7 linked regions of the Xenopus tropicalis genome follow. The protein of the gene in region 2 interacts with the protein of the main gene of each other region in a pairwise test. Links are inferred from orthologs where the notes say so. Each region holds a gene or a part of one and is shown on either strand. Other genes may lie near its edges.

Region 1 (4,701 bases), on a different chromosome or scaffold from region 2:
GTGTGTTTGTGGTATATAGTGTGTGTGTGTGTATATATATATATATATATGTGAGTGTGTGTTTTTAATATAAAGTATATATCTTGTTGGTGGGATATGTGATATATATCCAGTGTTTGTGATAGGATATATATATATATATATATATCCAGTGTGTGTGTGGTATATAAAACATCCAGAGTGTGTGTGATAGAGAGATATTATATATCCACATTGTGGGTACTATATTAAATATATATTATATTTATATATTAAATATTTATATTATTTTATAAGCAGTGTATATCTTTCTCTGTGTGTGTAAGTAACAAGGACACACACACACACTAATTAGTAACAGAAATATATTGTGGCTGGTATTTCCATACGAAATGAAGAATTTGCAAAGCATAAAAGCCCCTGGATGTGCTTATGGCATGGCTCAGCTCCGCTAATAGGAATAAGCTTTATGTCCTGTGCATACAGCAGTCCCATTGCAGCTTAACAAAGGCAGAGTTTTTCAAGTAGGACAATAATTATTAGCCTTAATATCGCCTCCGTTCCTGAACCCCGATGGAAATGGTAGAGTAGGAATTACAAGCCACACACACGATTCCAGCCCCTGATCGCATACAAATTAATGTAATAAAATATACATGATATTCCTGGCTGACTGTCTGGCCCTGCCTGGCGGATTGTAAGGGTTCAGTCCCCCCTGTGTTAACTCTGGTGTCTCTTTTTCTGCTCAGTCTCTAAATCATTTGCATGGGAATGAAATATGAAAGTGAATTAAAAAGTTAATATTTAATAAAGCGAACACGACTACTGATCAGCATTGCTGCCTGTGTGTATGAGTGTGTGAGGGGTGGATTCCAGAAAATATCATTTATTTATCCCTATTAGTATTAATAATAATAATAAAATAATAATAATAAAAAAAAATTCTCACTACTGAAGTGATATTCCGCTCCATATTACTATTATCTGGAAATAAAACAGGCACTTTTTAAAGCTGGATTCTGATCAATCACCCTGAAATAATAGGCAGTATATCACATTGGGGGGTACACTGGCCTTTCCCTTTGACCCTCAGCACAACAATCTTTGCTAAAATCGCCTGCGATCTCCCCAATTCCTTTGGTTGGACCGTTGCGTAAACGTTTACGCGCAATTCTTCACAGCGTTTTGTCAGCCTGCACGGATATTAAATCCACAAGCTGCAAATCCCACTCTCTCCATCCAAGGCTTTTATTGTGGAGTTTGTTCTGGATCCGTGCCCAGTTTAGTGGAATATGGTTTTTAAAGTGCAGTTTAACTCCCATGCATAATACCCTCATTTATCAAGGTAAAATGCTTTTAAACCGATCATTACATCTGCAATTGCTTAATATTAAGTGGGAAATATAAAAAGGTACTAGGTGCCATAAACACATCCACCTCGTAAGAGTGGTGATTTTGCAAATGGGATCGGTTGCCTTTATGAATCATTTTCACCTGTGCCGACCAGATAAATGGCTGTACAATCGTCCAAACAGATCGCACGGCGGAATTGCACTAATACAAGAGGTGATCATTTTGCATTTACAAACTATTTTATGCTGCCTGCCAGATACTTTGCTGTAGGGCATATATATTATGAATTATGTACCTTTAATACGGTATATTAAATATTGGAAGCTCTTTTTTTCCCGTCTTCTTCCAGTGGTTAAATATATAAATCGCCGGCGATATTAATATAATATTTTCGTAAGGCTGTGAAATATAATGGCTGGGGCAGGCTTGTTGTAAATCCCCGATCTTATGGGTAATTTGGTAAGAAAATTTAGATTCTGGGAACGTTTCTGCTACAAATATTAACTGTGCCTGGATATTCCCCCCTCCTGTATATTTTACAGATTGTGGTTCCTTGTGCTGCTAAGTTATCCGTGTTATTATCGTCGGGGATTTGTAATATTTAGCCAAGGATTTTCCTAGCTGAATATTTCGTGTAGATATAAATATAAGTATTTCACCTCTGCCAATAACATGGGGCCTTATGGTTTAAAATATAAATCCTGTGGCTGATTTGTCGGTAATGTATAAACACTGGGGCTGATTTGAGTCTAGTAATATTGCAATAAAGTCGCACTGCTCTGGCTGAAATGTATATATATAATTGGGGGGAGTTTTATTCGATATAAGGAAAGTGTTAGTTTACCGTGTGGCCTGTTTAATTGGGGGGATATGGTGTAAATACAGGGGTTGCCTTGGGGGGTATATCTTGGGGCTAATTCCAAATATTATGGCTGATTTGGATCCAAGTTATTGTGGCTGAGGGTGGAAATATTGTGGCTGAACTTTGTTTGAGATATAAATATTGAGGAGGGATTTGATTACAAATATAAATGTTCCTGGCTACTGTGATGGATACTGTGGCTTGTTTAACTACCTGTGCGGCTGGGTGACTACAAGGTGGAAAGATTTCAGGCTATTGCCGGTGCCTGGGGGGCTCTCCCCTGTGTTTGCCCTGCTGGCCAGGAGCACATACACTTCCTGACGGTATATTGCCCTTTTATTGCCCCCTTAGGCTTTTGTCTCCCACTTCCTCGGTGCAGAACTTACTTTGATGTGTCCTGTCTTTGTCCCCGCTTCCTTCACACAGTTTATTGTCCGGGAAAGTGGCCCTTTCATTGGCATCTTCTCTTGCAGCAGGCGAGCCCAGATTGTACTGTTGGGCTCCCAGTTTGTCCAGCTCCCCCGGGGGCCCCAGCAGCGGCTCAGACTTCACAGTTCCTTGGCCAGGTCCATTCTCTGCTCTTTGCAGCGGCTCCAGCCAGCCCCGTAAGTACCTGCCCTCCGGAGTGGGGGCGCCCTGCTGGATGTAGGGGTGGTAGACAGAAGGCAGGGGGCTGGCTGGGTGGGGGTTCAGAGGGCTCCAGGACGCGCTGAATACAGGAGCTTTGGGCTGGAAACTACAGGAGGGAAAGTCCAAGGGCTCAGAGTGAGCTGAATGGGCTGCTGGCCGGGGGCTGGGGTACTGTCCAGAGAATTTGGCTGCTGGAGCCTCCTCACTCTCAGGGCTTATTATTGACTCCACAAAATAATTACTGAGAGTCCCAGAAATGGCCATTCTCGGGCATCCTACTCAGCAGCTTCATTGAAGGGAACAAGATATAGGAGCTCTCCCCTCTCCCAACTTGCTCGCCAACTCGGTGCACTTGGGCTGCTGGCGTGTGAGCTCCTGGCAAATGATTGGTCAAACTTTCTCCGTGTGCCTGATAAAGCGTCAGAGGGCTATTCATCAATCGGAGGGGCCGCACGGAGCTGTCAGCATTCATATCTGGGAGCCATTGTTTTATGGGCATGAGGGCTGGGACACGCCTGAGATCCGACCAACAACGCACTCCTCAGCCAACAATTTGAAACTTGGGTGACACCTATTTCTGTGCAGGCTCTGGTGCCTTTTAGTGAAGCCACAAGACAATCTGGCACAGGGGGGTCTGGGTGCAACAGCTTGGGAGGGCGCAGCAGTCTCTCATTCAGCTGTGCGCAATTGGCCGTGTGCGCAAATCAGTGCGCAATTTAGCAGAACGGTGCCTCTCGCTGCCATAGCATGGCGGCTGCGTACAGTCTGGCTTGTACAGTACGGATTATAAACAGTATATTTATAGTTAGTGGCCCCTTTCCCTACACTGACTATATGCAAAATAACAGACACCAATTAGGTGGATATTGGATGTGGATATTTTATGCCCCCTGTATCTGGAATTGTGTTTCTATTCATATGAATACACCGTATTTCCCAGGCAATGTCCCCATATAATGGCAGATATTGCAAAATGTATATGGTGCCAATCATTTCCTAGGAGGCACTGCTGATTGATACCTTACACTAATTTTATTTAACTGCCCTTCCCCTACCCAGTAACACTATTTACTCACATTGTGCCAAAGTGCTAGTGTCCCTATGACCCTGGTTTATTTCTCTGCACTAGTATGAAATGGTAACCACAAATTGTCACCAGTTACAGACCATTGTACAGTGCCCAGCCCTGCAGCATGTATATGTATGTTCTGCACTACTAGCACTATGTCTGCTTGTTTATTTTAACTTTATACAATTGCCTGTACCCTGTGCAGCACTGATTTAAAGTGGTGGCTGAGGCCTACAGACTGGCCCATAATATAATCAGATATATAAGTAGTAATTTGCCATATTTATATCCTACACTGCACTACTGACACTATGATCCCATTTGCTTTCTGTATAACTACTTATGCCCTGCCTCTCATCCAATAAATATATTTTTACAGTCACATATTATGCCAAATGCCTACAGCTTATATACTGCCAGGTGTTGCCATTCTGTACTGCGCTACTGACACTGTGACCCCACTATATCATTTCTCTCTGCCAAAGATACAAATATAAGATGGTGCCTACACACTGTCCCATATTGTGACCAAATATTTATAACTCACAGGCATTTTATATGGTGCAGCTTTATCCAAGATAAGTGACTCTGTGACCCCATGGTTACTTTCCATTTATATAACAGCTTACCAACCATAACATGGGGCAAACATTTTGTCCATAATTACAAGCTTATATTGTATTATTCGTACATTGTATTATTTCTTACATGAGCCATTGCCTGTATATAACACTTTGCACCTGCTTTGCGCTGCTATCCCTTGGCGCTGCTCCATTGCATTTAATATTATTTATGCCCTGTATATATC
Region 2 (4,826 bases):
TCATTGCACCAAATTTAGCATCCATGGACTGAGATGATCTAATAAAGTGTCTTTTAATGGAAAAAGATTTTTGAGTGCTAGCCATAAAATGTACGTGGTGGTAAGCGACTGCCGCCACATTCCCCATTAAATATTTACTTGCATGGAAGTGCTGATTTCAAGTCACACCTAATTCAGTGGTTCACAGTGGAGCCCCATTGGCTCCTATAATGTGTTTGTGCTCATTTAACAGCATTGTGTCCCCACAGTTGTATCTCTCTAGCTCTTAGAAATACAGTGCTCCATGCAGAAAGCAGTGTCAGGAGATGCAGCCCAGCCCTTTAGGCAGGCGTTAAGTACGGCGTCCCAAAGCAAGCTGCAGCTTCTTCCACTTATGTAATGTGCTTGTGCAAGATAGGGAGCGGGAGGGGAGGAAGCCTACATGCCCAATGCAGGTCGCACTTAATCCAAACAGCAGTCCACAGAGGCCAGTGGCTACACAATGACCAACGCAGTTGATAAAGTGCAAAAAAATGCCAGATTGTGAATGACCCCTATATTGTAGGTGCACTTGTGTCACAGTAACACTTCCACCTTAGGCTAAGCACAGGTCCTTTCTAGAACATTTCTACATGATGGAAGACCTTAAATGAACTAGGAAGGTGGCTGAAAAGTCTGGCATTTTGCAACAAAGATTGTTTGCAACCGTAAGGGGAGAAATTTGCCTTAAAATGAACTTTTACTATGATTCAGACCATGCATTATAAGACAATTTGCAACTGGCCCTCTGAATTATCTACATCTTCTGTTGTGCATCTGTTTTAAACAGTTATCTGGTTGCTAGAGCTTATTTACCTAGCAACCAGGCAGCAGATGGGAAGAAATAAAAAAAAATTAAGACCAACTGGGACATTGCTTATAATAGGTCTCTCTCTAACATAGTAAAGGTTTATTTAAAGGTCAGCTTGTATGGAAATAATATAAATAATACCTGGAAGAAATACAGTGTAATTTTTTTTTTTTTTTTTTGCTTTCTGCTTGCCATTATATAAGAAAATACACAGAGCTACTTTCTGATCTTGAATTAAAAGAAGAGTGAAGAAGTCTTTGTACTGAACAAACTACAGATATATTTGTTCCCTGGGGCTAGATTTCCCATCCAAGTCCTTTGCTGAATGAGCCATGTTGAAGTTGGTCCTTGGGGATGAAGAAGTCTCATTTACTGGCAACCCTTAAGCCCAGAAACATAGGGAGACTCCTGAGGTCTGGATATAGTTTCTTGCGGCTGAGACATAAAGGAGTCCATAAAATCCGGAGCAGGGAGTCCTGAGAGTATCAACACAGACTTGTTCCATATAGTGAAGGTTGGGCACACAGGGAGAATAAAGGAGATGGGGAAGGTGTGCAGGTGGAGGGAGTTGGCTGGATCATAGAAGGAAAGTGTATTATTATCATAGTCTAGGAGAACACCTAAACGTTTCAACTGAGGATTCACATCCAGAAGAGCTTCTTTGTTATTGTGTCTTACAAGAAAATTATTGTTGCATCGAGTGAAGACCCACGAGGAGGTATTCTTCCCAACCCACTCATTCCTTGGAGCGGATTTATAGGCGATTCCTATTGCATACCTGGAGGGGGAGAAAAACAAATGTAAAAAGGCGAAACCAGAACATATATGCTCCTTGCTGCAGTCTTTATATTTGAGTCATTTTACTTGAAACAATTGATGGAGGGGTATTCCCTTAATACAAATGTAGTGTATAATTACAAAATCATTTTTAAACATATTAAAACATATAATATAGTACAGGTGTGGGGCCTGTTATCCAGAATGCTTGGGACCTGGAGTTTTCCGGATAAGGGATTATTCTGTAATTTGGATCTCCATAACTTAAGTCTGCTAAAATTCATTTAAATATTGAATAAACCCAACAGGATTGTTTTGCCTCCAGTCCAAGGTACTGTTTTATTATTAGAATTATTTGCTTATAGTGGAGTCCATCGGAGATGGCCTTTCTGTGTTTTGGAACTTTCTGGATAACGGGTTTCTGGATAAGGGATCTGATACCTGTACATACCAAACACAGTGTCCCAAAAAAAAAATAAGCACTCAAGGCAGATATGTTGGTGTGTGGGAGAATACCCACGAGCAATTTTACTTGCCCAGTGTAAACACATGACAATAAGGACTCTTGTATTTCAATGCAAACAGAGTTCCTCAACAAAGGTGCAAATAAGGTGACACTATAAGATCCAGGAAGCTAAAATGTCTATTACAAGTGCTATGAAAAGACAATTTACATATACCACATAGGCCCACCAGTATACAAGAAAAACTCAGCCCTTCACTCACCATTTGGCCTTGTATGCTGTATATCATGATCAGTTCAGATTACGGTATGAGAACAAAACAGGGGAAAAAAACTTAAGGGAAGGACAGATGATCCTCTTGGGGTAATTTATTAAGTGCAGGGCAGGGTGCACACAATAACCCATGTTTTTTGCAGTTTGTGCCCTGTTCTGAAACTTAAAAAATTGTAATAGGTCTCTGCACACAAAAACGGAGCACAAAGACCTGTATCTCCACCTGTGAACAGACTGCTGCCTTCATGATGGGCGGGTGTAGGCAAGTAGGCGTCCTGCCACACAGTTACACAAGGCTGCCCAGTGTCCAACACCAACGCAATCTGCACTTAGTGATAGATTTCCAATCCAGCGCTAGGGTTGCCACCTGCCCATTATTTTACCAGCCTAGCCAGGAAAAAATGATTCTTCATTCCAATGTTATTAACAGGGAAAAAGCATACAAATATAGGAAAGCTGGTAGTTTTTTCAAGAAAAGGTGGCAACCCTATCCGGCATGGGGTGCAGAGTGCAGCCAGACCCGGACGCAAGTGCATTATAGTACACTATGGGGCAGATTTACTAATCCACGAACGGATCGAAAGCATCCGAACGCGTTTTTTTATAATGATCAGTATTTTTGCGACTTTTTTTCGTCGCCGTTGCGAAAAAAAATGGATTGGTTTTTCCATCGTTTACTATCGCTCAATACAAAAAAATCCCAACAGCGACAAAAAAGTCACGCAAAATACGGTAAACTAGGAGAATAAAGAAGGCAAAAAAAGACAGGAGGAGCATTATTTTGAAAAATGAGCCCTTGCACGACATTGTAAAAAAGCGATATATAATAAACAAGAGCCATAATTATATATCCTTAAAACTGTGCTTGGTAATGTCATCAGTTATATCTGTGCTTAGTGATGTAATTTATTTATATATATATATATTTTACAACATTTTCCAGGTTGTCATAACAAGCAGAATAATAACCGAATGCATTGTGCATCCCTCTTTGACCGATATGTCAACCCTTCCTCCTTTGAAATCATTGCGTTAATCTAATTATGAGAGGAAAAAGCAAATCAATTCACTGTTTATTTGACGAGAAGAGATTTGTCTTAAGTGTCATTTAATGGTAGCAGAAAGTAAACGTTTTGCCTCTGCGTATCTGTGCCGAGACCCTGACTAATGCACAACAATGTTAAAAATGCATTAACCGCACACTGTCACTTGCATGGGATTCTGGGTAATATGTCCGCACAAATCAAGGATTTTGCTGGTGGCTTTTTATTCTATTAACTCTGCACAACACATTTTTTCTGCTGCAACCTGAACATTACCAACACCTCTGCAGAAAGGAGTGGGGTAATTTTACGCTTAGGAAGCCTGAAGTGCTATGTACCTTATTAAAAATGAATGTTTGAGGACTGCACGCTGCATGTTAAACAGAATCAGCGTGAGATTTTAAAGCCGAGCCGACAGCATCATTGTAATAGGAGTTGTCAGGAACCAACTGACCACATAGTGCAGGACCCGGGGGGGAGAGGGAGAGTGCAGGATTCACACAGGGCCATTAAAAGTTATAATAACTTGCTCAGACGTGCATTCAGTGATTTAACGTGCAGCGGCGTAATTTGATGTTATTGAGCCCCAAAGCAAATTCTTTATAGGGCCACCCCCACCTCAGAAACCATAGGCATGAAATCAGCTGCAATTCCTTTAGTGAGGACCCTGTCTCTGTTATTTATACCCCTGGGCACCTGCGTACGTTGGAACCTTTCCTATTTTACCTTTCTTCCCTATTAAATGGGATTGGCATCAACTATTAAACACTTTGCTGGATGGGGGAAACCCTACCCCTGGGCAACCTGCTCCTGCTACACTGCACTGATAATACAGAGAGTAGCAAGGAGCAGGTTGCACCCAGCTTAGATATGGCAGCGGGCGGCCTCTTATACCTAAATACATAACTAAGGGTACATTTGCAGCTCCCCAGAATACTGCGGCAGCTATCAGCCTTCATTGGGTTGGCTTTGAAGTAAATGGATCACAGGGCTCATCGGCAGCTGAGAAGCTGACCTAGCGTAAAGGCAAATAAATAGATGCAGGCATGGGGCCACTAATGCACAAACAGCCATAACTAGAAGACTGGAGATGGGCTGACCCATGGGTTCCCAATCTAATAAATGACTATACAGAGCTCTTACAGGGGAATGATTATTGTCCATTTATTTTTTTCGAGTAATGTATGAAGAAAAAGCCTACAGACCCTTCCCTCTCAGTAAAACTGAATTAATGCATAAGGATGCCATATATTTTTTATAGAATGAAGCAGAGAAACTCAAGCTGTTCATGGTGATTATCACTGTTGCCATTAAGGTCTACAGTCAGTTCTGAGTCATTATAAGCCATATGTCAAGGAGCAATCTGCCCATCACGCCGCTATGCTATACCCTTATACTATAATCTATTTACTGAATGAACAGCATACATCTGAAATCCTA
Region 3 (4,220 bases), on a different chromosome or scaffold from region 2:
AGGGTGACTGGGGGGGCTCTCCCTGTCTATCCTTGGCTTGAGCCTTCCCTCGGGGTGTTGCCCCGCTCCTCAGGGTGACTGGGGGGCTCTCCCTGTCTATCCTTGGCTTGAGCTTCCTCGGGGGTGTTGCCCCGCTCCTCAGGGTGACTGGGGGGGGGGCTCTCCCTGTCTATCCTTGGCTTGAGCCTTCCCTCGGGGGTGTTGCCCCGCTCCTCAGGGTGACTGGGGGGCTCTCCCTGTCTATCCTTGGCTTGAGCCTTCCCTCGGGGTGTTGCCCCGCTCCTCAGGGTGACTGGGGGGGGGCTCTCCCTGTCTATCCTTGGCTTGAGCCTTCCTCGGGGGTGTTGCTCTGCTCCTCAGGGTGACTGGGGGGCTCTCCCTGTCTATCCTTGGCTTGAGCCTTCCCTCGGGGTGTTGCCCCGCTCCTCAGGGTGACTGGGGGGGGGCTCTCCCTGTCTATCCTTGGCTTGAGCCTTCCCTCGGGGTGTTGCTCTGCTCCTCAGGGTGACTGGGGGGGCTCTCCCTGTCTATCCTTGGTTGAGCCTTCCCTCGGGGGTGTTGCCCCGCTCCTCAGGGTGACTGGGGGGGCTCTCCCTGTCTATCCTTGGCTGAGCCTTCCCTCGGGGGTGTTGCCCCGCTCCTCAGGGTGACTGGGGGGGCTCTCCTGTCTATCCTTGGCTTGAGCCTTCCCTCGGGTGTTGCCCCGCTCCTCAGGGTGACTGGGGGGGCTCTCCCTGTCTATCCTTGGCTTGAGCCTTCCCTCGGGGTGTTGCCGCCACTCCTCAGGGTGACTGGGGGGGCTCTCCCTGTCTATCCTTGGCTTGAGCCTTCCCTCGGGGGTGTTGCCCCGCTCCTCAGGGTGACTGGGGGGGCTCTCCCTGTCTATCCTTGCTTGAGCCTTCCCTCGGGGGTGTTGCCCTCGCTCCTCAGGGTGACTGGGGGGCTCTCCCTGTCTATCCTTGGCTTGAGCCTTCCCCTTGGGGTGTTGCCCCGCCTCCTCAGGGTGACTGGGGGGGCTCTCCCTGTCTATCCTTGGCTTGAGCCTTCCCTCGGGGTGTTGCCCCGCTCCTCAGGGTGACTGGGGGGGCTCTCCCTGTCTATCCTTGGCTTGAGCCTTCCCTCGGGGTGTTGCCCCGCTCCTCAGGGTGACTGGGGGGGGGGCTTTCCCTGTCTATCCTTGGCTTGAGCCTTCCCTCGGGGGTGTTGCCTCACAAGGAGTAGTATCTACCTGTAACTATCTACCTGTAGGTACCTGGCCTTCCCGAAACACTTTGACTCGACAGGTTTGTTGTGTTTAACTCTTCTCCATCTGATTTTGGATAGGATAGAGGGAGACACAGGAAGAGGAGGAGCTTCGCAAGATCATTGAGGGGTTGTCCAGCCTCCAGAGAGGAGCTTAACTAGACTGACAGTATGGGCTTACGCAGAAGGGATTTACCAGGTAAGCCAATCTCCTTCTTACACAGTAAATGCCCCTTTCCTATGTACGTTATGCACCAATAAATGCCCCTGTCCCAATCCCACAGAACTTACCTGCTCGATTCCTGTTTGTAAATGTCAATGATATTTTCCACCAGTAGGTTCCTCTGTAGCCCGTACACCCCGTGTCTGTCCAGCACCACCTCATGGCGGCATGAAGGGCAGCGAAATCGCCCCCCTGAGGAGACAGTGCTGGATCCTCGTGACTGCCACAGAGGATTGGAGGCCTGGGGGCAGAAGGACACCAATTAGATTTTGCCCCCCTATATACAGAATAACATGCAGCACTTTACCACCAATGCTACATACAGAGGCCTTCTCCTGGGTTAATACATTAAAACCACTTCCAGACAAGAACCAACACCCAGTGCCAATTCTACCCTCAAATACACAGGGGCTTCAACAATAGTCCTACCTTGTTGTAGAGTTGTCACCCCTGCCGGATCAGAAAGCCTGGCAGGGGTGATGTCATGGGGGTGGAGATGAGGCGGGGCCTCGACAGCACGGCCATGCCATCATGGGGGCTATGACTCCTACTGAGTCTCCTACATATTGTTCCTCCTCCTACTGACTCTTCTCCATGTTGTTCCTCCTCCTACTGACTCTTCTCCATGTTGTTCCTCCTCCTACTGACTCTTCTCCATCTTGTTCCTCCTCCTACAGAGTCTCCTACATCTTGTTCCTCCCCCTACTGACTCTTCTCTATGTTGTTCCTCCTCCTACAGAGTCTCCTACATCTTGTTCCTCCCCCTACTGACTCTTCTCTATGTTGTTCCTCCTCCTACAGAGTCTCCTACATCTTGTTCCTCCCCCTACTGACTCTTCTCCATCTTGTTCCTCCTCCTACAGAGTCTCCTACATCTTGTTCCTCCCCCTACTGACTCTTCTCTATGTTGTTCCTCCTCCTACAGAGTCTCCTACATCTTGTTCCTCCCCCTACTGACTCTTCTCTATGTTGTTCCTCCTTACGGAGTCTCCTACATCTTGTTCCTCCCCCTACTGACTCTTCTCTATGTTGTTCCTCCTTACGGAGTCTCCTACATCTTGTTCCTCCCCCTACTGACTCTTCTCCATGTTGTTCCTCCTCCTACTGACTCTTCCCCATCTTGTTCCTCCTCCTTACGGAGTCTCCTACATCTTGTTCCTCCCCCTACTGACTATTCTCTATGTTGTTCCTCCTCCTACTGCGTCTCCTACATCTTGTTCCTCCCCCTACTGACTCTTCTCTATGTTGTTCCTCCTTACGGAGTCTCCTACATCTTGTTCCTCCCCCTACTGACTCTTCTCCATGTTGTTCCTCCTCCTACTGACTCTTCCCCATCTTGTTCCTCCTCCTTACGGAGTCTCCTACATCTTGTTCCTCCCCCTACTGACTATTCTCTATGTTGTTCCTCCTCCTTACGGAGTCTCCTACATCTTGTTCCTCCCCCTACTGACTATTCTCTATGTTGTTCCTCCTCCTACTGAGTCTCCTACATCTTGTTCCTCCCCCTACTGACTCTTCTCCATGTTGTTCCTCCTCCTTACGGAGTCTCCTACATCTTGTTCCTCCCCCTACTGACTATTCTCTATGTTGTTCCTCCTCCTACTGAGTCTCCTACATCTTGTTCCTCCCCCTACTGACTCTTTCCATGTTGTTCCTCCTCCTTACGGAGTCTCCTACATCTTGTTCCTCCCCCTACTGACTCTTCTCCATGTTGTTCCTCCTCCTTACGGAGTCTCCTACATCTTGTTCCTCCCCCTACTGACTCTTCTCCATGTTGTTCCTCCTCCTTACGGAGTCTCCTACATCTTGTTCCTCCCCCTACTGACTCTTCTCTATGTTGCTCTTCCTCCTACTGAGTCTCCTACATCTTGTTCCTCCCCCTACTGACTATTCTCTATGTTGTTCCTCCTCCTACTGAGTCTCCTACATCTTGTTCCTCCTCCTACTGACTCTTCTCTATGTTGTTCCTCCTCCTATGGAGTCTCCTACATCTTGTTCCTCCCCCTACTGACTATTCTCTATGTTGTTCCTCCTCCTACTGAGTCTCCTACATCTTGTTCCTCCTCCTACTGACTCTTCTCTATGTTGTTCCTCCTCCTTACGGAGTCTCCTACATCTTGTTCCTCCCCCTACTGACTATTCTCTATGTTGTTCCTCCTCCTACTGAGTCTCCTACATCTTGTTCCTCCCCCTACTGACTCTTTCCATGTTGTTCCTCCTCCTTACGGAGTCTCCTACATCTTGTTCCTCCCCCTACTGACTCTTCTCCATGTTGTTCCTCCTCCTTACGGAGTCTCCTACATCTTGTTCCTCCCCCTACTGACTCTTCTCCATGTTGTTCCTCCTCCTTACGGAGTCTCCTACATCTTGTTCCTCCCCCTACTGACTCTTCTCTATGTTGCTCTTCCTCCTACTGAGTCTCCTACATCTTGTTCCTCCCCCTACTGACTATTCTCTATGTTGTTCCTCCTCCTACTGAGTCTCCTACATCTTGTTCCTCCTCCTACTGACTCTTCTCTATGTTGTTCCTCCTCCTATGGAGTCTCCTACATCTTGTTCCTCCCCCTACTGACTCTTCTCTATGTTGTTCCTCCTCCTATGGAGTCTCCTACATCTTGTTCCTCCTCCTACTGACTCTTCTCTATGTTGTTCCTCCTCCTATGGAGTCTCCTACATCTTGTTCCTCCCCCTACTGACTCTTCTCTATGTTGTTCCTCCTCCTATGGAGTCTCCTACATCTTGTTCCTCCCCCTAC
Region 4 (4,220 bases), on a different chromosome or scaffold from region 2:
ATTCTAAGAACAATTGCAATATACATTCATTATTATTTTTTTTTTCATTCCAACATATTAAGGGTTGTCCTTCTTGTTAGGAGAAACCTTAGATAACTTTTATCACGTCTTTCCTAACCAGAACATCAGCCCAGCCCTCTTTCTTCACTACATCACAGTAAGAAAGTGCTGTTATAACAAAATGTATTCATATTAAAAATAATTTATCCGTCTTTGAATAAAAAACAACAAAAAACAATAATGAATGTAATTACAAAAGTGCTTAGAATAGCACTCTCATCAATTTACATTCAATTTTTAAAGGTTAACTTATCCTTTAAGACTCCAGCAGACTGCAAAGCACAAAAGAGACACAGCTATATTACGTTCTTGTAAAGTAAACTAGAGCAATGTGTAATGCAAGGGAATACCTGCACATAAAGGTTGACCTCCGCACTTCTGCACAGATATGGAAAATTCCCCCCAGTTTTCAGATGAGCCCTGCGGGCATTGGGATACAGTTTGTACATTTCTTCCTTGGCATCTGTGGAAAGTGCACTCTGATCAAACACCTGCCAAGATAAAGGTTTCATTCAGTCAAAACACATATAGAAAAATGGTTGGCCTGTGCAGTTACACTGAGCAAATTTTGGACATGAAAATGCATGCTTTCGAGTTTTTCTGGCCAAAATCTGTACACAGAGCTGTGCCATGTTGTCTGTAAATGTTTCCTATAATAAGCTTTTGCTTATTAAAACCCTTTAGACCCCTTTCCTGTCAGCTACTTCCGATCTCGCCAGACAGCCGTCACGTCCTTGAAAGATTTTAATTTTAACTGGGAGTCTCTAGTTTTATAAATGCTTGATGCACTTTCAAACCTTTAGGAGCTACTTAGTAGCATCTACTTGTCACCAGAGAATACCCTGCCATAGACAATACTGAGAATTGCCTCTGCTAAAACACACGTAGAGACAGATATCAGTACATGATAAGCAAAGTCTATTTTAGTAGCCGTGACAAGTAGCTGCTACTAGTAGCTCTGGGTGTCTTCACCCTTATTTGGCGTTACTTCCAATGTATTGCACTTTTCATGCATGTTTTTATCATAGATGATAGCATTTATACCAACATAATTTAAGAGCATGTCTAACATTCCCTGATCACTGCAGAACTATTAAATCATTGTATTTTCACTACTAAATTGGTTGCAAATGATCATTATATAACTGAGACTGTTAAATCTTTAAATACCCGTCACTCTGGAAGTTCAAAGGTTAATAGTAAGGCTGCAGCATCCCCTTAATCACCTGGGTCCCTTCTCCTCTTGTAACCCCCTGCCTTAGGAACGGACTTTGGCTTGCTGAGCATGCTCAGTTCTTCTCAATTCTGGGGCCAATGAAGAGATGGCACTGCTGGTTTCCTTAGAGTCTGCTCTAGCTGTGCTCTCTGCTAAAGAGACATGGTTTTTTTCCTCCTAACCTCCACTCAGTTTAACCGTTACAGGGCTCAATTCAAGCAGGACTTTTAATCAAAGTAAGCTCTGCCTGTGTAAGCCTGCATTGTTCATTGCATGAACTTTACAGGGCACATGTGCTGTTTGCAAATGTTAATGCCACTGAAGATGTGTGAGATGGAGAATGGCCGCCGGGTCAAAGCAACTTTTTGTCTGGGATATATGCAATACAAATAGTGTGGGTTGGGTGGGGGAGATGTGCCTAACTTATATACACACATAACAAGTAAATGCTTTCTTTTTTTTTTTTTTTTACACACATAACAAGTAAATGCTTCCTGCTGATTAGTTGCTATGGGTTACTGCACCTGGGCAAAGTTAGTGTCTTCTGTTACATAATGCTATTTGTGTTTTTAAATGACCGTCTATTTTTAACCTTTTCTTTTGATTACAAATTGTAAATTGGAGCTAGCCCCACATTGTGTATCACCCAACTAAACCTGAAAACACAGAATCCAGTCACTTTATGGAAAGTCAGATCCTTAGCAGCAGGCCCAGACTGGCAATCAGGAAACTCTTGCAAATGCAGAAGGGCTGATGTAAGCTGCCATAGACCAGTGCTTTTTATTGGGGGGCTTTTAAGTAACTTGAAATGCCAGGGCCTATTTTGAATGTCGGCAGCCTGTACCATAAATTCTACTTTTTATTACCGGTATCTGTACCCCTCTTTAAAAAACACCATAACCTGATGAGACAAATAATATGCAAATAAACGTCAGAACAGCAAAATAAAAGGCACGTCTGCAATAAATAGTCAACTAAAAAAAAAAGCCTTACATCCATGATGGTAACTGCAGTGTCACGGATCTTATGAGGTTCTACATAAGCGTTCTGGCAGTTGAGGGTCAGTCGAGAGGCCAGCTCACTTTGATTTAGGCTTTCAAGCTTTAAGCACAAAAAATGACAGTCAGTTGCATAACACATCTGTGTTAAGTTCCCAAAAATGGTTTCACATAAAACTCCCACTCTGAGGCAAGAAATGTTCCTGGGCAGATCACCTCTTAGAGCCCAACTGCATCACTCAATAAAGAGAACTGTACAAAGAAGGCCTCTATAGGCCTTAAGATATGGGACCAGTTATCAGGAAACCCGTTATCCAAATTATGGAAAGGCCATCTCCAATAGACTCAAATAATTCACATTTTTAAAAATTATTTCATTTTTCTCTGTAATAATCAGACAGAGTACCTTATAATTGATCCTAAAATATTATTAATCCTTTTATGGAGCCAAAACAATCCCATTGGGTTTCATTACTGTTTAAATATTTTTTTAGCAGGTGGAGAACAAAATTACAGAAAGACCCCTTTATGCGGAAAACCCCAGGTCCTGAGCATTCTGGATAACAAGTCTCATACCTGTATTATTATTAACAACATAGTACTAGAGTTTACACATTTATAGAGAGTAAAAGGAAAATTATAGGAAACTTATTGCCCCTAATTTAAAAAATAAATGTTTTTATTTGTACAAAAAATTGTACTTGTGAGAAAGCAACTAGACACTCTTTGGTATTCCATAGTAGTTTGTACCCTTTAATTTCAGAGACTGCATTATCCAATTTACATCTATTCCCCACAAGCCAAGTAATAAGCTGTAGATAGAATACTGGTATAAGATAAAGCCTCTCTGCATTAGCCATGCTTCTTTATAGTAAACCCAGGCAAAGCTGTTTTTCTGTGCCAGTATTATATCTATATACCCATAGACAGCTGGCTGTATATTATTATGCATGTTTGGTTTCCAGCTCATAAATGAAATGTTTGTTTAGGAAACAGATGCATCATTCTTTCTTACCCGGTCTACCATGAAATCAATGGCATCTGCCATTACTGGATCCACTGGGCCAGAGGAGAAGTTCCCTAACAGTATCTTCTTGAGCATGAAAGCTGGCATCAACCAGAAGCTGAAAAGAGAAATATCTTAGTTGTCAGAAAATAAGGACACAACTAAGAAAATAATTCCACCACCCACGCCACATCCACAGTTCAAAAGTAGGTATTCTGAGGCAATAAACACCTACATACATCATAACCACATTGATCTTTCTGTACTGCACATTATGCCACATTCCACACATTGTACTTTCTAATTAAAACAGCCCAGTGAAATTAACAAGTGAGAAATCTCCAATCAGTTTACCAGTCCTGATCAACCCTAGTGCCCCTGGCTGAACACTCAGAAAAAACAGCTCAGAAGGAGAAATAGCAAGTATCGAGCGCCTGTAAATTAATAAGCGCTTAATGTAGCTTGTAATCTCATACCCAGGGGTACTGGTGCTAATGCTAATGAGCCCAGATGTAAACCAAATTAGACTTTCCAGTTAATCCAACTTTTGGCTGTGTTTTCTACCCACCACTTATCCCCCATCACTGTCCTCACTAAAAATGCATTATCCACTACAAGTTATACAAAAAAAGTCAACCTCCATTTTATAATTGTATAGGTTTCCTTCTGGCAGCTACTGACACTAAAAATATTCTTATGCAGGGATAGGATGATGCCTTTGGTTGTGTAAGGGTTACTGTTTTATGCAGAATTGAAACACAAAGCAGTAAAGTGATAAATGCACTACCTATTTGCTGTCCAAGTCTGGTTAAAAATGGAGGTATCGCTGAATGAATTACAGAGTATAAGGGACTGGACTCGGGGAGATTTGTGAGTGTACTCGGCAAACTTCTGCGCTAGGAATCCCCCAAGAGATGCTCCAAATAGATGAACCTGCAAG
Region 5 (4,832 bases), on a different chromosome or scaffold from region 2:
CTGCTGAATCATTTTAGCCCCCCCCCCCCCAAACTGTGAGGAGAAGACCTTTTTTTATTAAGCTGCTTATCAATCAGTGTCCCACAGGGGCCCCTGCAGTGACAGACACTGCCTCTTCTGTAGTTACACCCCTGCCCTGATCAACAAGCTTTGGAAGAAGAGTCTTTTGGGAGTGTTGTAGAATGAGACTCTGTTGTTTCCCACAACAGTGAAAAGATGTCAGGAGGTGCTGGCAGTCATAGCTTAATATTAGGTGGGTGGGCTGGCCATTAAGGGTAATGGAAGATACAGTTTAACAATATTTGTGCAAGATCAGCTTACCTTATACACAAGACTAAAATACAGTGCACAATAATGTATATAATTTGGGGCTACCAATTAAATAAAAATCGGAATACTAAAGCTTTTGGAGTATTTACACCAACATAAATATCAGTTGTATTCAAAATCATAAAAAACAAACTTCTGCTGATTTATTGGAAAATATATTTCTTACACAAAGCAGCAATAGTGTAACAATAGGGGAACAACTATTTTCCAGGACAGGAAGCAACATGTCTCTGCATGACATCACTTCCTGTTCTGAGTGCAGAGGCAAAGGACTCTACAACTTCAAATTCACAAAATAGAAACACTTGTGGCTTACAGGTCTTATTTAATATGTGCACTTTTCAATGGCATCCATTGGAAAATGTCTGTTATAAGCTAAGCAAACTGGGTCCCTGATAAATGACAATTAGTAATACAATATTTATGAAGGAACTACCAGTACAATCATAATTTACAGACAATTTATTCTAAGCTAGAGTCAGTTGGTCTCTATTATTTATTTAATATGGTTTAAAAGATTAGCATTCCTATTCTGCCCTTTTCTGTTTAATTAGTTATTCTCATTTTTAATTACCTTGCTTTTTAGGCCCACCCACTTGACTTTCCATCCTGACTTCCAAAATGATACCTTGTTGCAAGGGTAATAAGTTCTAAAAACCAGACAACATTGGAAATTCCAAGCTTGTGAGTTGCCAAAAAAAAAACAAGGAACATAAAAAACACACACACACATAAACAAATGAACAGCAAATTGTCAGGGAATAATGATGTCTGTATGAAGCTAAAAGTTAGATAAAATACTCCTTTGCAGGTAGGATGTAATAAAGGCAACACAGTGGCTCAGAGGTTTCAGCATTGGGGTTCTACGTTCATTTACAAGCTAGGCACTATCTACACTGAGTTTGCATTTATTCTGTTTTCTCACTTTCTCCAAAAATAACAGGCAAGCTAACTGTATTCAGAAATTGACCATAGTGCATAATTCAAGTAATTAAAGGGATACTGTCATGTTTTTTTATGGTATACTTTTTATTACTAAATTACACTGTTTACATAGCAAATAATTCACTCTACCATATAAAATTTTATTCTTGAACCAACAAATGTATTTTGTAGCTGTAATATTGGTGTGTAGGCAGTCATCTTAGTGCATTGTGCCTGATTCTGAGCTCCCAGAAGGAGCCAAAACTACACTTTCATGTAACCTATTGTTTCTCCTACTCCCATGTAACTGGAGGAGTCCCAAGCTGGACTTGGATTTACTATTGGGTGCTATTCTGATATCTACTGGGAGCTGCTATCTTGCTACCTTCCCATTGTTCTGCTGATCGGCTGCTGGGAAAAGGGGGATATCACTCCAACTTGCAACTTAGCAGTAAAGTGTGATTGAAGTTTATCAGAGAACAGGTCACATGGCTGTGGCACCCTGGGAAATGAAGAATATGGCTAGCCCCATGTGAAATTTCAAAATTAAATATAAAAAAAATCTGTGTTTTTGAAAAACAGATTCAATGCAGGATTCTGCTGGAGAAGCTCTATTAACTGATGTGTTTTGAAAAACACATGTTTACCCATGACAGTATTCCTTTAACAATCTCTGCATGGTGCCAACATGATGGGCCAGAGGTACAGGAGATACCAAGGTGTGCTGATATACAATTGGTCATGTCCAGTGGTCCAGTACCCAAAGGTGGCATCTTCCCTTAGGCCACTAAATAAACATATATTCATATTTATGTGGACCCTCATATACAGGCAGCTTGCAGCTTAGGGTTCCCAAATCAAAATATCTCCATGATCAATATTCATGTCCAACAGTTGTCCTCCATAAAAAGTATATCATTCTTTATCCAGTTATAATGGAGACAAATGCAAATCTGCTGCTTACAAGGACATCTCACCCCTCCTTCCTCAGCTGTCTCTCTGCCTCCAATGTAAACTGACTTGGTATCAAAACATGACTTCCAATCAAATGTTCCGCTCCACCCAGCTCAAAACTAAAGCAGCTTTCGTTAGATGTAAAGCAGAAAAGGTTTGCCTTGAGCCTGCATCAGGGTAATTAGCAAAGTGTGTCATGTTTTTAAGATACACTCAGCACAGCTGGCTGCATAGATCTTAGATTCATTAAGCTATGATGATATTTAACAAGTAACTTTGCTTATTGAATAGCTAAAATGTCAAATAACTTAACTACTTGTAGGTCTGTAGCTACTGTAACCTGAAAGGGTTAACAGTAGAAAAAAAGCTAGTTCAGTAACAATAAAATGTAATTACAATGTAATTGTTTATTTTTTTAATCATGTATTGTATTTTTTTTTCTAGTTTCCCACAGCAGAAAACTTGGTTGCACCTGTCGGGTGAGATTAACTGTTGCACATACAGAACAATGTATAAATAGATATAAATCATGACTGCAGTTTTAGTTTCACCTGCCCTGTTTATAGGAGTGGGGTTTTCCTTTAAATTTCAATTTCACACATTAATAAAAAAAACATGTTATCCCCTTTTATTGTATTTTTATCCACTTTCTAGCATCACCTCCCATCTTCGTTCTACTGGTGGCTTGACCACACACACACACACACAGAGACACAGGCTGTGTAAGTTCTAAAAGCTGATGGAACACATTTACACTGCATTTTAATCCTGTGCAAGCGCAGGTAGCACCTACCTGTATATACGCCATCTTCACTCAAACTGCCATTAGTTCCCAGATTAGGCTGAGCATGGTGCTCCTCTCTCCCATCTTTGCCCTCAAAACATTCACAAGGAAAAAAAGACGTGACTTGTTTAGCTGATCAGCACAGGGCTGCTCGGTCCTCCCCCTCTTTCATGATGACACTTTCTCTCAGCAGAAAGCCTATTTGTACTTGTGTGTTGCATGTCAGATCAGATGTACCTTGCAGGTTATGGAGATTTTCTCCCAGACTGAACCTTCTGTATAGCCCGACCCCTGGGTACCTGCTTTCTTTTTTGTCACTTTCTGGCTTTGTGGCTTTAATTAGAAGTCTGCCCTGTGTCTATTCTTTCCTTCTTTCTTTTCTTTTGTTTTGAATGATGTCTATCTTTCGGCTGAGGACTCAGTGTCGCCACTTACTGTGCATAAGCTTTGTATTTAGTTTTTCCTCTGCTCTGAAGTCCCTGAGGGCTTATGTATTTGTATCTCAGATGCAAGACAGAAATGAGGGAAAAACAACATCATTACTTTTATTACCATTCTCCCCCACCCCAGCCATTTAAAAGTCAATCTATCAACAGGCAAATATAGATCTCAATAAAGGGATATTTTGCTCATCATTTGAAAAAGGGAAAAAAACATCTGTCTATTTTAATTCTAAAAATGATTAGTTTAGATTAAAAATTATTATTTATTTTTGGTAAAGTTTAGGCTGATAATGAGCATTTTTAATCAGATCACTATGTTAAATTAACATAGATTTCATGTTTAAAAATGACTTATAATGATCGGTATAGAGTCAAATAAGAAATGTAAATAGTCCTTAAGCAAGGTGACATTATAACCTTTTTATTTTGTTATTTTAATTTAAATTACATTTATTTATATTCAGTTATTGTTTTCATATTTTATTTTTATGAACTTGTATAAATATATGTAAATGTGTTTAGGTGTATAGGCCATGTAACTCCATGCATACTCTCTTCACCTCTTGTATCAGTTATTGGTTGCTTTATATGTTACTCTGTATGTCCAATGTATAAAACCCACTTATTGTACAGCGCTGCGGAATATGTTGGAGCTTTATAAATAAATGTTAGTAATAATAATAATAATGTATTAAAGCTGGGGTCCCCAATCTTTCTTACTCGTGAGCCACAGTCAAATGTAAAAAGACTTGGAGAGCAACACAAGCATCATAAAAGTTCATGGAGGTGCAAAATAAGGGCTAAGATTGGCTATTAGGCAGCTTCACATGCTTACAGGGGGCTTTATTTGGTAGTAAATCTTGTTTTTATTCAACAAAAACTTACCACAAAGTCAGGAATTCAAAAATAACTACCTGGTTTGGGAGCACTGAGAGCAACATTCAAGGGGTTGGTGAGCAACATCTTGCCCGCGAGCCACTGATTGCCGATCACTGTATTCATGGAACAGTTTAGTGTAAAAATGATACTGGGTAAATAGATAGGCTGTGCAAAATAAAATAAAAAATCAATATAGTTAGTTAGGCAAAGATTTCATCTATAAAGGCTGGAGTGAGCAGATGTCTAACATAATATCCAGAACACTAACTCCTCCTCCTTCAGAGCAAGGCAACTACAATGGGACAAGACAGAAGATGGCGGCACAGTTCTCAGTAGAATATTACGCTGGGCCATGCGTTTTTCAGTAAAGAGGAGTAACAGCTCAGGGTCGGAACTTGGAGTAGGCAACAGAGGAATTTGCCTTGGGCACAGTTGGAGGGCGCAATAAAAGGGGAGTGATTGTCAGGGAGAAGGAGACAGTGGTGAGAAGCCTCTATGAGTACCGAACCTCGGTGCCT
Region 6 (4,700 bases), on a different chromosome or scaffold from region 2:
GAAGACCAGTTTCTCTAGTAGTGGTGGGAAGGAGAGCAGAGCTAGGCCTAAACAGATTGTGGTTATAAAGGATTCAATTATTAGGAAAGTGGACAGGGTTATCTATCGACTGGATCGCTACAACCAGACAGTATGCTGGTTTCCTGGTGCTAGGAAATCAGCATACTGTCTGGTTGTAGCGATCCAGACAGTATGCTATTTTCCTGGTGCTAGGATTTGGCATGTGGTTGATCAAGTTGACAAATTATTGGGTGGGGCATGACCCAAATGTCTTGGTACATATTGGTACTAATGACAAAATAAATGGTAGGTGGAGGACCTTAAAGAGTGAGTTCAGGAACCTAGGCTCTAAAAAAAAAAAAAGTCCTCCAATGTAATTTTTTCTGAAGCTTCGCCTGTGCCACGTGCAACGTTTAGGGAAACAGCGGGAGCTTTGGGAGCTAAATGTTTGGCTGTAGGGTTTGGGTTCCTAGAACACTGGGCTGACTTTTCTTTGGGGTACAATCTATACAGCCATGACCGATTGCTCCTTAATGGAATGGGGGTCCATTGTGCTGGGGAAAAAAAATGGCTAAGAGGCTGGAGGAGTGTTTAAAAAAGGCAGGGGGGGGGGGGTTATGGGAAAGCTAGTGTAGATCTGGCAGTGGGATAAGCAAGGATACATACATTTTACCAGCTAAGGAGATTCCTCTGTTACATGGAAAACCCCTAATAGTAACCTCAGATCTAACTCTTAGTTCTGTAATGTAAATATTAGAGGGAAAAATAGTAACCTCCACGGCATGCTGGCAAATGCACAGAGCTTGTCAGGGAAATTAGAAGAGCTGGAGTCTATTGAATGTACTGACAATTAGGATATAATTTGTATCACTGAGACCTAGTGAGATGAAACAAGTGACTGGGCTGTGAATATACATGGTTACACCCCTTTTAGGAGGGATAGAGGGATTAGAAACAATGGAGGGGTTTGTCATTATGTAAAGCCATATACTAAAGAAATTAGCAGAGACAGCAATTCAGTTTCATTTTGCTCTACTGGTTGCAACTATAGGTAAACTAAGCATTCATTCACACTAGGGATAAATGGGATGACTCAAAACCCACGAGAACCAAGCCCTAGAAGCGGGTTTAAGAGGGTGGCAGGTAAAACTGCAACCAGGTGATGTATTAATTCTAACCCATCTCCTGTGGTGACTGGTCCCACCCATATAAGAGTCATCGGAGAAGAACCACATAAAAGTTATAGTAGAAGCTGGGTTGGAAAACAGCAGGTTAGGGTTGAAAATGTTATGAATCACTCATCACTAATTTGTTTTTATTCAAAATCATCTTTTGACTAAAATGTACATATCCAGACCTGTTAAATTTCACAAATGATAGTGTATGGATAAAGTTCCGTAATCTTTGCTATAAAGTATTTCTATTAATGATTATTTTATTCAGGGGCTGGCCAAGCCGACCGGGCACCCTAGGCAACCCAATTGGCCACCCTGCACCCCACCTCTCATGTGTGTACATGAGAAAGTGCACTGACATCCCGGGTAGGATGCGAGAAAAGCAGCTGGGGCAATAGTGTGTGTACTAGGGGGTAGGCAGAAGAGGTAACTGTCACACCCCCACATCGTTGCTCCCTTCTGACTACCCCAAGTTCTGGCCCGGCTTTATTTGACCCATGTAACCCTTGGCGTCTCCAGATAGTTGCTACTTTACCTTAGTGGAGGGTTCTTATTCATAAACATTTCCATTGCCTTTTCATCTTCAGGGTTAATTTGTACCTCCTCGTTGAGGGTACCTTTCTCCAGACTGGCTGCCTTCTCCAATGAAGGCCACTCATCATCTTCAGAGTCTGAACCCTCTGCTCTGTTCTTGGAATCTGAAGGGCAAGGATTTACAAAAGATAATGATTGATTTGCCAATATACAAGCAAAGATAAATATGAAGAAATAATGACCTCTAATTTGTAAATAAGTTAATTCAGACTGTACTTAGTGAATGCTACAAGGTCTGTTTCTGTGGAGCACCGGTTCCAAACAATTCCCAGGGTAGGCCCAAGAGAACATGAAATATTTGTAATGCGAGTTAAGGGTCACAGTCTGAATACATTTAGTGCATGTTAGGCTATATTACACACTTTTTGTTCTAATTACAGCTAGTATAACTGAGCATACTGTACCTTGTCATGGCTAAATAGAACTAGAAAGCAGCACTGCCTGTATGGTACCTTTAATTTAAAAAGGGTCCTAAAAACATTTTTGATAAAATCAAATCTTAAAAATTAAGATGAAGGTGCAGTGTACAATCCATTTTTGCACACATGATTCCGGTCTTTTATAACATATACACTAAAGTATATATGCTATGTGGAGTATAATCATTAAAGGAGAATGCAAGTCAAAATTTAAAAAGCATACTGCCCAATAGTCCTCCTATTGTTTAGTAAAAATGCCACACTTTTGGCTCACCTAATCAAATATTTACTCAGTCACACTTACTTCACATATTCTAGAACAGGCAGCCATCTCTAAAAAGGTATTCTCCCTTCCTTTCCCTCCTTGCTTCATACTGCACATGTGTTTGCATGGAGATGCATCAGCATATAAAACAGCACATTAGATATCCTTCATTTTATCACAGAATGAAGTTAGCAAATTATTTATGTACAACTTTTCAAATATTCTTATATGTGTATGACTGTATCATATTATATACCTGGAATGTTCAATTTGAACCAGCTAATGAGCATTTGAGCATTTCTTTGGCCCCCAGTAGACTTTTTTTGCATGGCAAAATTTCAATATAATCTGGCCCTAAATGGATTACATTAATGGATTATTAAGACTGTCCCATACTCGTTTCTATGTATTTACAACTACAGCACTAGTTGTTGGTTATGACTCAGTCTAAAGACTCCCCACTGATTTTATATACCGGTTTAAAAACTTTTGTTTTGTATTCTGCCTTGGAAATGTTTCTTTACCCTTTTTTACCTAAAACAGTTGTCCTCTCTTTAGGGGTCACATTCCCCAGACTATATTCGGCCTCCAATTCCTCCTGCTGAATACGGGCCTGCTCCAGAATCCTTCGGGACAATTTCTCGTCCACGTATCCATCATCTTCGGCGTCGTCTGTAGGTTTCCCCTTGCGCTTATTACGGAACGAGGGTCTAATTTCTCCCTCCTGTTCGATCTGATCAGCTAAGGGGAGTAAGCGAGAAGCAGCTCCCCGAGAATTTTTGTGCTTTGGCATTTTCCTGACATACACGTGCATAGATCCACACACTGCGCATGCTCCTATTCCCCTGGCATCGTACGCCTCGATGTGGGACTTGCGTGAACCGCAAATAATGACAACAATTTTGAGCGCCGTGACGTCATAACACGTCGCTGTGTTTTGTACAATTAAGTACCAGCATGGGAGTGACTTGGTAAGTGTTTGTCATTTTTAATGTAGTAGTAGAAAAAGAAGAAACGTCATTTTGATGTTTGCAGATACGTGTTAACTTCTGGATTGTTTTTATCTTTTGTAAACTAAGTTTACGCTTACTTATTTGCATGACTGCTGCTTTGTTAATTATAGAAAAACGGAATCCTACGAATTCAACACTGCAGTGCAGTATCACACTAAGAATGCTATGGGTAATAGGGAGACAGTTAAAAGATATCCTTTTTTAAAAATCAACACTGTAAATATAACCTGTTGAAAATGTATTCTGCCTCTTATTTTCAGGATTTTTTTTTGCCTTTGTTAAGGAATAATAGAATTTTTTAATGATAATTTTGAACCCCCAATAGCGTTGCTGGTAAAAAAAAAAATGTGCTGGATGCCAATGTTATTAATAGGGTATAAAGTTATGAATATAGGAAGACTGATATACTATACCAAAATATATCTGTCTTATGTTTATCTTCCTTTCTTATAAATAACATTAACAATAGCCATGATTTCTTTTTTTGCCTAGGCAGCAACCATACTTCCTATTGCTGTATGATTGCCTTCAGCCTGCATCCTCCAAATGCCACCATTGTACATAACCCACAATGCATTGGAATGCTCCAGGAAAAGAAAATCACAGTAAATTGGATATAGATTTTCTCTTTTCCTGTTCACATTCTCATGGCAGTCCGCACAATTGGGAGGGAACATACACATACCAAATGCTGCAAAATACTTTACTTTTTTATTCAAAATCTGCAGAAGCAGAAACATTTTTTAATGCTTCACAAAAATATTAGGACACCTCCAAATTGCTGCTTTGAAAATCTTTTCTGGTGACGCTAAACCTTTGAGTGCCCATGATGCTGCCATACTGGATACATCTTACAATATACATGCCAGTGTTTGCTTAGCTGCACTGGTAATATGAAGAGAGATTTTGTTTTTCTTAACTTCTTTGCCCTCTTTAGAGTCATCTTAAAGGAACAGTAACACCAAAAATGTATATATTTTAAAGAAATTAAACTATAATGTACTGCTGCCCTGCACTGGTAAAAGTTGTGTGTTTGCTTCAGAAACATTACTAGAGTTTATATAAACCCTGCTGTGTAGACATGGGGGCAGCCATTCAAAAGAAGAAAAGGCACAGGTTATATAGCAGCTAACAGATAAACCCTGTAGAATACAATGGTGTCTTATCTGTTATCTGCTATGTAACCTGTGCCTTTTCTCCTTTTTTCCTGCTTGAATGGCTGCCCCCATGGCTA
Region 7 (4,220 bases), on a different chromosome or scaffold from region 2:
AGAATATTCACATCAATACATAAAACTAGAGACACCTACATCTAAATAGTTTGTATAAAATACATGAACATTGGAAGGTATATCAACTTACTCAAAGTATACATTATTTATATCATTACACCTGCCATAATTAATTTAATTCTTCTCTTCTTTGTATTGCTCTGTCTCTCTCTTCCTTCCTGGTTTTTCTTTTTCCCACCACCCAGTTTTAACCCTTCCCTATTTATCATGACATACCCTTTCTCTCCCTTTTGCTCCCTATTTAGTTTTCTTTGCCAGTTCCTTCTGTCCATTATTTTGCTTCTCATCTTCTATTGCTACTTTATTGTCTTCTTCAAACTTTCTTCTCCACTATTCATCTTCTGACCTCCCATTCTCTCCCTTTTTCAGTTCTTTTGTTGCCCTTCTCACCTACTCTATGTGCTTATTTTTTCCTGTTTACCTTACATTCTCCCACTCCTTTTGGCCTGCTTTTACAGAGGCAAGTGCCCCACAATACCCTACCTAGTTGGTGTTGCTGCAACCATATTTACTGTATTTATGCCAATAGCCACATCTGATATTTGGTGCCCAAGTCTTCAGCTGTTGCTGCTTCCTGTACAAAAGGTTACAAAATAAATAAACCTACATGTGTTTATACTCATGGGGTTGAATTGAAGGTTGGACAGAAACTTTGGACTAGTAGCATAAATGTAATATATGAATTGTATCTACAGGTCTCAAAAATGTCACCAGTGGGGCTACCCATGTTTACCTTTTTTTAAAATCTCCCCGAAAAGGAATGTCAGGGTAAAGGCGATTTTCGAGATATTTGTCACCTGGGCAATTAGTTTATTATTTAAAAATCTTACCTTTTCAGCATTTAAAGCCAACAATAGTCATTTAAATATGAATCTATGATAACGGAGAATTTTGTGTTATACAGACAATTGTAATGACAGAGATAGAGACTGAAATATATTTCTTTACAACTTCTTTTAAGTTCTTTATAATTCTTTCTATGTACAGGAAGAAGATCACTAAACCAGACACAAGTGCCACATAAATGGCATGCAGTGTACAATGGCCCAGCACATTGTATGAGTTGTATCTTAAGGCAAGAAGGCATTGCAGGGATGTACCGGGGGGCTGGCGCTATGCTCCTTAGAGACATTCCTGGCTACTGTTTATACTTTATCCCTTACACGTTTCTATGTGAATGGATTACTTCAGACCAGCACAGAGCACCGAGTTCCTTTTGTGTTTGGATAGCTGGTGGGCTGGCAGGTATGTCTTTAGTGATAGTAAAAACATAATCATTTCAGATAAGCCCATGTTGAAAGATGCATAAAGCATAAACATTTGTTTAAAAGATAATTTGTAGTTGGCAGTTTTATTGTTTTTAATTTTATGATGGATACAGTAGGACAATTTGAAATTGGTCTTCATTTTTAATTTTGCATTTTCAGGTTTACATTTGTATTGTGCAACTGTCAGGCTTGGGATTTTAACAACTAAATAGTTGCAGAGAAATAAACAGCGCTTTCATACTGGCTCTTTTTGTTAAAATAGATAAAAGGTAGAGCTCACATAAAATGGATTGCTGGAAGGTGGCCATATACAGTATATTGTCACTTGTGCAGTACCTGCAGGCTGATTTGTCATATACTATAGAACATAAATCCCCAACATGTTGCTCACCACCCCCTTTAATGTTGTTTCCAGTGGCCTCAAGTAGGTGCCAATTTTTACATTTCTGGCTTGGAGGCAAGTTTTGGAAGCACAGAGACACAGTTTTACTCCAAGTAGAGCCTCCTGCAGCCCAGCAGTCCCCGTGGGGCTACCAAATAGCCAATCGCAGTCCTTATTTGGCATCTGCAAAGAACTTTGCTTGTGTGGCTCACCAAAACTTTTTACGTGGCTCATAAGTAAAAAAGGTTGAGGACCTATGCAATAGAAAAATGGCCAGTGTACAGGCACCTTAAGACCCTGGAAGGGGTTAGGGCTTTAAAAGCTTTGGGGTCTGACCTTCTGATAGGGGAAAGAAATAACCCGGTGAGTACATGAAGATGTAAAATAAGATTGCATTCCCAAGTTATGGCATTGCATTTGCAAAGGAATAAATGCAGATAATATGTACCTTTAACATAACCAAAGAATAGAAGATCAAATAGCCCCAGGCAGTATGTTTTGACTGCAACATAGTTTATTTTAGCAGTGCAAGCACACCACATGTTTATATATGTTGTATGCTTACACTATACTAAATAAACTACATTGCAGTCAGAAGATACTGCCTGGGGCTGTTTGATCACCTATTCTTTGGTTATCCAGTAAAAGCAAAAATCATGGTTAGTATGACAACATTTTTTCTTTAATTTTTTACCTTAGGGGCATTATCATGGGGCACAGCAACGCCCATGGATGTAGTAAAAAGTCGTCTTCAAGCAGATGGTGTTCATTCCACTAATTATAAAGGGGTCACAGACTGTATTACCCAAAGTTACCAGAAGGAAGGTATTAGGGTAAGTGTATTATTAATGCAATAACCGGGAGAGCTGGGAAAAAGAAATAGAAGAATTGTTTGTTTAACTATAGAATGTTAATGCTGTGTTGCATATTGAATAGAAATATATACAAATATAAGACAAACAAAAGCCATCAGGAGCAGGAGGAAACCTGTGTGTCCCTTACCATATTGTAAACTACATAAATCCGAACAACATTATCTAGTGCTTTTTGCTCCTTTGTGGAACTGGTCCCTACTGGCTTCTAATTCTAAAGTGAATCTGCTTTTAAATAGACAGGGTCTTTGTATAACTGAGATTAACAGGGGAAATAGACACATGACCTCTTTAAAAAATAAGAAGGGTATATCTCATTAAAAAATGCTTTATACAGTAAATGCAAAGTGTAAAGGGAGAGAGGTAATTGCTGCAAATGACACAATTGGTGCCACTTTATATGGTTGATCTATGGAGGCAACTATTGCCTGGTCTAAATGTGAATTTTTCAGAGACCTGGGGACCAGTGGGAACCTCTTTGTTAAAAAGTGCAAAATTATACCTGTGCACAGTCACTCACTTCATTTACATGTTGGCATAAATCCCATATTCCTTCACTAAAACCTGCACACACAGTGCAGTCTTTTAACTAATTAGTTAGCTATTGCTGAGTGCATAGATTCCTTACCTACTGCCCAATCACATATGCCAGAAGTTGAAGAAGCCTGACCACTGCCACCCTCTGTCCTGTCTACTGAACTGTCCAGGTTATGCAGAACATAGAATGTGTGTGTGATATGCCCACTAATGTCATACAAGCCACTGACTTAGTTGAATGCCTCTAGGCGGCACACAGCCCTCTTGATCCTGCTCTTCTTCCCTGCCAGTTCTCTGTTAGAAGTCACATTGAGAATGTGTATTTTTGGCCCATATTAAAGAACTCAGACTGCAGCCCATTGTCACTATGTGGAACTGTTACTGATATTGCTCTTTACTTTGCTTGATGTTATGACACTAAATGACCACAGTGTATGTATATGTATGTATATCTTTATTTATAAAGCGCTACTTATATACGCAGTGCTGTACAGTAGAATACATTAATACAAACAGGGGGTTATTAAGCTAATAATAGATAAATACAAAGTATAACAATAAATTCAAATAAATACAAGATACAGTTGCAATAGGTTAAGATTCAAAGACACAAGAGGATGGAGGTCTGTATACAAGAGTGTGTCTGTATACATAGTTTAAGGCAGGGATCTCCAACCTTTTTTACTCATAAGCCACACTCAGATGTTAAAAGTGTTGGTGAGCCACACAAGCTTGAAAAAAGTTCTTTGGGAGATGCCAAATAAGGGCTGTGATTGGCTATTTGGTAGCCCTATGTGGACTGCTGGGCTGCAGGAGGCTCTGCTTGGAGTAGAACTTCTCTGTGTTTCCACAACTTGCCTCCAAGCCAGAAATATAAAAATGGCACCTACTTTGAGGCCACTAGGAGCAACATCAAAGAGGTGGTGAGCTCATAAACCACTGGTTGGGGATCACTGGTTTAAGGGCTTGTGCTTATTGGCATACAAAATATTGTCATTTTACTTGTGGAAGCTTGAAAGTGAAGGAAAACAGGTGTAAACAGATGTAAATACATTCTCCAACCACCGCACCAGCTGGGCAGCTGCATCTGGTTTCAGTCTTAAAGGAACACCAAAAAATGAAAGAGCTTTAAAGTAATAA

The links.
Region 1: the proteins of mid2 (region 2) and hoxb9 interact in binary tests that used the Homo sapiens proteins (3 or more experiments, as listed by UniProt). The two-hybrid records come from large-scale screens. The link is inferred for Xenopus tropicalis from reciprocal best matches to the Homo sapiens genes MID2 and HOXB9.
Region 3: the proteins of mid2 (region 2) and trim54 interact in binary tests that used the Homo sapiens proteins (3 or more experiments, as listed by UniProt). The two-hybrid records come from large-scale screens. The link is inferred for Xenopus tropicalis from reciprocal best matches to the Homo sapiens genes MID2 and TRIM54.
Region 4: the proteins of mid2 (region 2) and spg21 interact in binary tests that used the Homo sapiens proteins (3 or more experiments, as listed by UniProt). The two-hybrid records come from large-scale screens. The link is inferred for Xenopus tropicalis from reciprocal best matches to the Homo sapiens genes MID2 and SPG21.
Region 5: the proteins of mid2 (region 2) and syt17 interact in binary tests that used the Homo sapiens proteins (3 or more experiments, as listed by UniProt). The two-hybrid records come from large-scale screens. The link is inferred for Xenopus tropicalis from reciprocal best matches to the Homo sapiens genes MID2 and SYT17.
Region 6: the proteins of mid2 (region 2) and bysl interact in binary tests that used the Homo sapiens proteins (3 or more experiments, as listed by UniProt). The two-hybrid records come from large-scale screens. The link is inferred for Xenopus tropicalis from reciprocal best matches to the Homo sapiens genes MID2 and BYSL.
Region 7: the proteins of mid2 (region 2) and slc25a48 interact in binary tests that used the Homo sapiens proteins (3 or more experiments, as listed by UniProt). The two-hybrid records come from large-scale screens. The link is inferred for Xenopus tropicalis from reciprocal best matches to the Homo sapiens genes MID2 and SLC25A48.

What each region holds. Positions count from the first base shown.
Region 1 is NC_030686.2:12,097,982-12,102,682, forward strand, and holds the start of hoxb9 (homeobox protein Hox-B9), read right to left. Parts: upstream 3,199-4,701; 5' UTR 3,089-3,198; coding exon 2,581-3,088; intron 1-2,580. UniProt on the Homo sapiens protein: Sequence-specific transcription factor which is part of a developmental regulatory system that provides cells with specific positional identities on the anterior-posterior axis.
Region 2 is NC_030684.2:40,259,106-40,263,931, forward strand, and holds the end of mid2 (probable E3 ubiquitin-protein ligase MID2), read right to left. Parts: intron 1,608-4,826; coding exon 1,199-1,607; 3' UTR 896-1,198; downstream 1-895. UniProt on the Homo sapiens protein: E3 ubiquitin ligase that plays a role in microtubule stabilization. Mediates the 'Lys-48'-linked polyubiquitination of LRRK2 to drive its localization to microtubules and its proteasomal degradation in neurons.
Region 3 is NC_030681.2:162,394,638-162,398,857, forward strand, and holds part of trim54 (tripartite motif-containing protein 54), read right to left. Parts: intron 1,707-4,220; coding exon 1,534-1,706; intron 1-1,533. UniProt on the Homo sapiens protein: May bind and stabilize microtubules during myotubes formation.
Region 4 is NC_030679.2:116,209,817-116,214,036, forward strand, and holds part of spg21 (maspardin), read right to left. Parts: intron 4,214-4,220; coding exon 4,068-4,213; intron 3,399-4,067; coding exon 3,290-3,398; intron 2,378-3,289; coding exon 2,270-2,377; intron 552-2,269; coding exon 411-551; intron 1-410. UniProt on the Homo sapiens protein: May play a role as a negative regulatory factor in CD4-dependent T-cell activation.
Region 5 is NC_030685.2:32,728,876-32,733,707, forward strand, and holds the start of syt17 (synaptotagmin-17), read right to left. Parts: upstream 3,075-4,832; 5' UTR 3,017-3,074; coding exon 3,002-3,016; intron 1-3,001. UniProt on the Homo sapiens protein: Plays a role in dendrite formation by melanocytes.
Region 6 is NC_030678.2:70,760,821-70,765,520, forward strand, and holds the start of bysl (bystin), read right to left. Parts: upstream 3,265-4,700; 5' UTR 3,247-3,264; coding exon 2,988-3,246; intron 1,874-2,987; coding exon 1,711-1,873; intron 1-1,710. Other genes in the region: med20 (mediator of RNA polymerase II transcription subunit 20), read left to right, coding at 3,411-3,424. UniProt on the Homo sapiens protein: Required for processing of 20S pre-rRNA precursor and biogenesis of 40S ribosomal subunits. May be required for trophinin-dependent regulation of cell adhesion during implantation of human embryos.
Region 7 is NC_030679.2:25,197,713-25,201,932, reverse strand, and holds part of slc25a48 (solute carrier family 25 member 48), read left to right. Parts: intron 1-1,008; coding exon 1,009-1,266; intron 1,267-2,370; coding exon 2,371-2,504; intron 2,505-4,220.